Xenopus tropicalis: one gene and its partner. The protein of the gene in region 2 interacts with the protein of the main gene of each other region in a pairwise test. Links are inferred from orthologs where the notes say so. Each region holds a gene or a part of one and is shown on either strand. Other genes may lie near its edges.

Region 1 (3,754 bases), about 94 Mb from region 2:
ATCATGTGCTTGTGTGTAATTCACATGCTGGCATTGGCTGGAGTTTTAATCATTGAGATTATAATCTTTAAGGCTGAAGACACACGGAGCTACTAGTAGCAGCTTTTTTTTCACAGCTACTAAACACCGCTGACCAATGAATTAAAAATACAAGTTAAATTCCACTGCCCCCCAATTAGCACTTTATATTGATATCTATCTACTTCATTATATGAATGTACCTCCTACATGAACTTTTCAGTAGTTACTGAACAGGACTGGTTACTGGGCCCCACAGTGAGATCACTGGGCCCCTAAACTTACACAGTTCCATATCAAACAATGACAGCACAGAGCAGGGGCAGGTAGGTGGGAGGGGGTTTAACTTAGGGAACTCTACTGACCCCCTATAAACTGAATTACGTTAATCAATGGAACTCTTTATATATACTACTTATTATAGAATAACATCAGCTATTTTATTTATTTTGCATGAATGAGGGGCATGGAAGCTCTGTAACACGACTCTTCTTTGCAGAAAGCGGCAGCTTTATCAGATCCATTTATTCCCTACTACTTCGCCCCCCTATAAACACTGCCAAGTAATCTCTCCCTCTCCAGCAATCTCTCTTGTCCCGCTCATACCAAACACTGCAGGAGGGGAAATGATATCGCGAGAGAAGGCTACCTCCCATGATTCTTTGCTCTCCCGTCTCAGGCGAAAATAGAAATTCTGGTGTCTTACGCAGATTGTAAAAGAAATTGAAAATTTGGTTCAATTTCGTGTAAACGGACTGAAAGAGTTGTTTTTTTTCTGAATGTTTAATGACTTTGCTTTTGATAACAGATAAGTGACAGCACTATAAAGAGTTAACGTTTAAGCCACGCCTTGTGGGCCGGCCCTTATGCTTGCTCCTCCTGGATTTCCATGCACGTCTGTCTTCCCGGATCTGTGAGTGCTGCTTGCCGCTTCAGCTTGTGTATGTGCAATCATGGCTGTGCTGCTCCGGCATTACCTGAGGGGAAGCCCTGTGCTCGGCCTGTGTCTTCTCTTGCTGTCAGCCGCCGCTGTCACCTGTGAGCCCCAGGAGGAGAAGGAGCAGCCTCAAGGCCGGCCTGGCCGCGCTGCCCCGGATGGAGAGTGTCACTTCTACGCAGGGGGACAGGTGTACCCCGGAGAGGCGACCCGTGTGCCGGTGTCCGATCATTCTCTGCACCTCAGCAAAGCAAAAAGTGGGTCATTGTTCTCCCAAAGCTGCTTCCCGCCCTTCCAGCGATTCTCTCGCAGAGACACAGGCCAAGGGATAGCGAGTGACTTTGTTGTAGGCAATGCTGTGGGTTGGCAAGCTGGCATTACACCGGGGTATTGCTGGGTATTGCCCAGTGAGGGGGGGCACTGCTTTTCTTTTGCATCTCTGCCAAAAGTCTCTGCGCTTTGTGTAGCACATACCATTGGCTAAGGACACGTAAGTCAAATCCTATTGGTCGCTGTGGCTGCATGCAGCTGGATCCTGTCACACTGCTTGTGCATCTGCCTTATTATAGAATTGCTAGGAACAAGCATGGGCAAATGTCCAGTCCTACTATCAGAGGGCCCCCCTGGGTGGGAACCCTTATATTTGCCAATGATTACCTTACTTGCAGCCCTCCAGCTGTTGCTGAGCTAACTCCAGAGTACACACACAGCTGACTGGCAGTGTACTGCAGAAATCATTTCATTTCTTCCCCCCCCAATGCAGGAATAATCAAGTTAATCTTGACTCCCTCCATTTCCTTATTTCACCTCTGTTGCGCTACAATGCAGACTTAGTGCCGGTTTGCTCAAATGCAATCAGTGCAGTGTCGGACTGGGACCTCAGGGGCCCACCAGAAAAACCTTAGACCAAATGCCCACTCTCCAAACTATTTTTCCTCCTTTCCTCTTTATTCTCCTAGTCTCTTTTATTTACATGCTAGCATCTATTCTTCCATCTATTTCTCCTCTTTGTTCCCATTCAGAAATAGAAAATGGCCATGAGGCAGCTCATATGTTCAGGAGCAGGAGGGCCCACTGACACCTGGGCCCACCGGGAGTTTTCCTGGTATCCTGGTGGGCCAGTCCGACACTGAATCAGTGCAAGTTAGAAGTGGGAAAGCTCCAGATTTATTTAGCATGGGCAAGTGATAGCCAAAGGCAGCATAGGCCAATGATCTATATAAGCTGCCAATAAAGAAAAAGACTGCATGTGGAAGTACAGACAGACTGCATGGGGTGGGGTGGAGGGTAGTAAAGAGTCTCTCAATATTTCAGAAACTTGCAGAATTTTTAAATGTTTGCACTTGCAAGTTTCTTGCATTAAATGTTTATTTTCATTATAGTTCCTCCCTAATAAAAATGAGTATATCTAATTGCTGTTTTGTCTCTGCGTTTCTGTAGTTTCCAAGCCTGCGCCATACTGGGAAGGAACAGCAGTGATAAATGGAGAGTTCAAAGAGTTGAAACTTACAGATTATAAAGGGAAATATCTGGTGTTCTTTTTTTATCCTCTTGATTTGTGAGTATAATGTTCATCTGCTCCTTTTATTTTTGTTTGTATTTTGCATATTTACTCAGCATTGCTAAATCCAGTGGTCACTTCTAATCTTTCTTGACCTATCGTGGTTGCTGTATGAAGTAGTGGGGCCTGCCAGTGATGGACTGGGGTAACTGGCCCTACCAGAAACCCCACTTCACCCTCTGTATACCTTCCTTCTCTTTCACCTATACACTGTTTACCTGCAGTGTACTTTCAGCCAACACCCAACCACTGCAAACAACCAACCACAGAAAACCGTTCCTCACACCTGAAAGGCTAGCTCCCATTCTGCCCAAACCCCAACCCAGTCTGCCAAAATCCTAACCGTTCCACAGAGCACCATCTCAGTCTGAACTAATCCAAAACTGAATGGATCAGCTTTCTGTCTGCCCCTGGCTATATGTCCCCATTTCTGTTTCTACTGATAGCATGCATTAACCCTGCTGACCCAGCAACTGTCTGGGAGTAACCTTTGATTTTTTTCCTGTATCCTTCTGTAATCACACAAACACCATGGTCAAATCCTGTCATTTTTGTCTGTGCAATCTTATATAAAAATTTTGAGTTTTAGTTCTTTGAAATAAATATATAATATACTGTGTTGAATAAAATCAAGCCCTACGTGCATTCTGTTGTGCAGTGTGTGAATAATTACAGCTGTGCTTCAAAACTGTTAATCATTTACTGTGAGGATCTGATACATATATATAATAGAATATAAAGCTTCACTGCACTGCCAGCTTCTATAGGATAACTTACATTTCCCCATATAACTAAAAAACAATTTTGTATATTGGTGCTTATGGACAGCAGAAATGTTATCCTGGAGTTGACTGATCAAATGTTAAATTGGGAATTCCAGCAGTTAGATTTGTATCAACTTTATTAAAACAAAACAATTTTAACCAATAAATGTATACTATCCCTTTGAAAAATACCCATGTCCCCCTGCATGTTTATTATTTTCAAAGATTTAGGCATAAATACATAAATTCCCTCTTTTTTTGTGTAGTAACTTTTATAACAGGGCAATTGGGTGACAGGGACACTGCTGTATTATATTTCACATATAATATGCATACATCTCACTCTCACATCCTTTCCTCCAACTTCTGGCTGTAACTGGAAGGCCATAGCTCTGCTGTACAGAGAAGGATACAGATTTCTCCATACAGGCCTTGCAGGGGAGGGAAAGTGCTGACCCAAGCTCTGTGTGCACC
Region 2 (3,754 bases):
AACACTGTAGGGCCACAGTATGGGTGTCACTATAGACACAGTAGGGCCACAGTATGGGTGTCACTATAAACACAGTAGGGCCACAGTATGGGTGTCACTATAAACACTGTAGGGCCACAGTATGGGTGTCACTATAAACACAGTAGGGCCACAGTATGGGTGTCACTATAAACACAGTAGGGCCACAGTATGGGTGTCACTATAAACACTGTAGGGCCACAGTATGGGTTTGACTATAAACACAGTAGGGCCACAGTATGGGTGTCACTATAAACACTGTAGGGCCACAGTATGGGTGTCACTATAAACACAGTAGGGCCACAGTATGGGTGTCTATAAACACTGTAGGGCCACAGTAACCACAGTATGGGTGTCACTATAAACACTAGGGCCACAGTATGGGTGTCGCTATAGACACTGTAGGCCACAGACACTGTAGGGCCACAGTATGGGTGTCGCTATAGACACAGTAGGGCCACAGTATGGGTGTCGCTATAGACACAGTAGGGCCACAGTATGGGTGTCGCTATAGACACAGTAGGGCCACAGTATGGGTGTCGCTATAGACACAGTAGGGCCACAGTATGGGTGTCGCTATAGACACAGTAGGGCCACAGTATGGGTGTCGCTATAGACACAGTAGGGCCACAGTATGGGTGTCGCTATAGACACAGTAGGGCCACAGTATGGGTGTCGCTATAGACACAGTAGGGCCACAGTATGGGTGTCGCTATAGACACAGTAGGGCCACAGTATGGGTGTCGCTATAGACACAGTAGGGCCACAGTATGGGTGTCGCTATAGACACAGTAGGGCCACAGTATGGGTGTCGCTATAGACACTGTAGGGCCACAGTATGGGTGTCGCTATAGACACTGTAGGGCCACAGTATGGGTGTCGCTATAGACACTGTAGGGCCACAGTATGGGTGTCGCTATAGACACTGTAGGGCCACAGTATGGGTGTCGCTATAGACACTGTAGGGCCACAGTATGGGTGTCACTATAGACACAGTAGGGCCACAGTATGGGTGTCACTATAGACACAGTAGGGCCACAGTATGTCGCGTTAGGAATAAGCCGTTACATCACAGACACATAATACAGGGCGAGACCTGGCCGCCACCTTTCCATAACCTAAGTGCCCATGGAATCCTTTCAGCGGTAAATATGAAGAGAATCCCCGGGAACCCTCGTACCCTGGGCTATATCCGACTACTGGTGACGTCCTTGCGCGGTGTCCCCCCCCGTCTGCTGACTACTATTTCAGGGTCGGAGCTATTTTTAGTGCGTGGGGCCCTATTAATAGATCAAACAATGTTGTCTGCGTCATAGGAAACAGCCTGCGTCACACAGATACATTCCAGGAGCACGCTGCCTGTCTGCTACCGGAAAAGCCACGCCCCCCGTGTCCTTCTATGGGGGACGGAGCAGGATCACCCTTGTGCGTCACACACCCCCTCTGACAGGGCCCCGCCCATGTGCGTCACGGAGGCTTTAATAACATGTAGATGCAGGACTGAATCCCAGTGAGCTTGGAGACAGCGACAGCACAGTAACCCATTCCTCTCACTGGCACCGTGCAACACGCTGACCCCAGCGGACAGCCCGTACCGGGGACTTACAGCTGGGAGATCTGGTATGTCAGCTTAGCTTGCCATTCCAATCACAAGGTGCCACAGGGGTTAATAGCTATCTAGATACATCCCTTTGGGAGGTAGACATGCATGCAAGGGGGACAGGTAATTATTTGCAGATTATGTTATTATCATTTTCTATGTATGTGAGTGTATGGCTCCTGCTGGCTGTGTGGGGATCTTTGCATAGACTGCATGGGGTGTGCATTGCTTGCACCGTGTCAGTAGGGCATTGAGATGCCTGTTTCTAGGTTAGTGGGCATCACCTGCACAATTACTCCTTTTCCCCAGGAGATGGCTTTGGGGAGACTGCTTGTACAGGCTGAGGCTGAGAGGAGCCTCTGTGCATTGGGGAGGTTCGATGGCAGCTCTGGCTGCTTTGTACAGCAACAGGTGCAGAGGCTCTCTGCTTTGTATCTCTGCTTTGTATCTCTGCTTTGTACTTCCCTTAGCGGAGACCTGTTCATAATGTGCTCATAGCAATGCACTCTCTGCACACACCTATATGGTGTCCCTCTCTATACATAATAAGTCATGTATTAGTGATATATCCTGCAAACAATATGATATGCATGCTTCTGATCATCAAGATGTATAGATCTTTCCTGTGCTCTGTTGCCCCAGTGTGCACCCTCAAATATAGACCTGAGCTGCAGATTAGGGCAGCCAAGCAGTAGCCCCTTTAGCTGCTGTGCAACTGCAACTCCCACAGACCCTTGACAGTAATTGTTTGCAACTACCCCTTGCTGGGAGTTGTAATCCTGGAATAGCTAGAGGGCTGCCAGTGGGACGTAGCACTGGATTTTTGCTTGGCCTTTTTCATCCTGGTCATGTTGCTTTCCTTATGAAATGTGTTTCATTTGCACAACCTAGGCTCCTTAATGGTTTCTGTTTTTAACCCTTGTTTTGTTGCTTCCATCAAATTTTGCAGTCAGCAGCCATTTCATATATATATATATATATATATATATATATATATATATATATATATACTCTCCCATCAGCTTGCTGTTATATATAAGGATATGCACGCTAAGAAAGTCCAGAAGTATAAAGATCTAATCTTTTTTTTTTTCTTACTGTAAATGAGAAACTCAGATACATTAAAGGGAGGGTTGACCTTTCTGGGACAAATGGGCTGCAGTGCTTTTGTGTTCTTGTGCAAAGTGCTTTCTTGGCTCTCTGCAGTTCCCTATCTCTTCGTACTGGTTGCATTTCCCGTGGGGAAGTCTCTAACCTATAAGGCTTCTAAAACAGTCTTGTTGTGTTGGATCAATATGGCCTTTGTCGACAGCTAAACAACAAATCGGCAGGCCTCCCTCTAGTGCACCTCACAGGGGGAAACAAGTGTTGACCATCCATTGAAAACAATGATGATGGGAGATGGCTCTGAGCTATAGATAAAACAATTTCTTATTTTGTGAAAGCAGCAGCCCCATTCTGAATATTAGTTTTATAAAACATAAAGATTGTTACAGAATTGCACTAAACATATGTTTTGCTTCAAATTACTTTCTGATCTACAGTCCTTTCTGCAATTAAAGGCTTCTGAAGCAAGCCGCCAATTTGTCTTTGGGCAAGTACAGTTTGCTGTATCATAGGAATCACTTGACTTCTATGACACAAGTCAGTGCAGATAATCATGGGAAGCTGAGCTGTCAATCGACACCCTGCTTATTGGAGTGACATACTGTCATGGGGTGTGAACTTCAAGAAGTTGGATGGCAAGTTTCAGCTTTTCTTCCAAAGGATTTCTGTAGACGCTTAAATATTTTAATTCAACAGGTTTTCTGCCAGAACCTAGCAGTTTTTACACATACAGGCTAAAATGTGGTAGAATTAGTACGTATCTTTCAGATACACTGTTATATACAAAAGCTGGTACAGGTGTGGGACCTATTATCCAGAATGTTTGGGACCTGGGGATTTCCAGATCTTTCCATAATTTTGTTCTCTATACCTCAAAAATTGCTATTATTTAAACTACTATTATTTAAATGTGAATTAAACCCAATAGGATTGTTTTGCCTCCAATTACGTCTTAGTTTGTAAGTACAAGGTAATATTGAGTTTGCATCTTAAGGAAAAGTATAATACACTTGTTGTTTGTTTGAGCAT

What was found. The genes of interacting proteins can lie anywhere in the genome.
Region 1: the proteins of nr4a1 (region 2) and prdx4 interact in a two-hybrid assay, tested with the Homo sapiens proteins (2 studies listed by BioGRID and IntAct). The link is inferred for Xenopus tropicalis from reciprocal best matches to the Homo sapiens genes NR4A1 and PRDX4.

Annotation. Positions count from the first base shown.
Region 1 is NC_030678.2:41,365,687-41,369,440, forward strand, and holds the start of prdx4 (peroxiredoxin-4 precursor), read left to right. Parts: upstream 1-898; 5' UTR 899-971; coding exon 972-1,212; intron 1,213-2,395; coding exon 2,396-2,513; intron 2,514-3,754. UniProt on the Homo sapiens protein: Thiol-specific peroxidase that catalyzes the reduction of hydrogen peroxide and organic hydroperoxides to water and alcohols, respectively.
Region 2 is NC_030678.2:135,308,780-135,312,533, forward strand, and holds the start of nr4a1 (nuclear receptor subfamily 4 group A member 1), read left to right. Parts: upstream 1-1,560; 5' UTR 1,561-1,722; coding exon of another isoform or gene 1,723-1,741; intron 1,742-3,754. UniProt on the Homo sapiens protein: Orphan nuclear receptor. Binds the NGFI-B response element (NBRE) 5'-AAAGGTCA-3'. Binds 9-cis-retinoic acid outside of its ligand-binding (NR LBD) domain.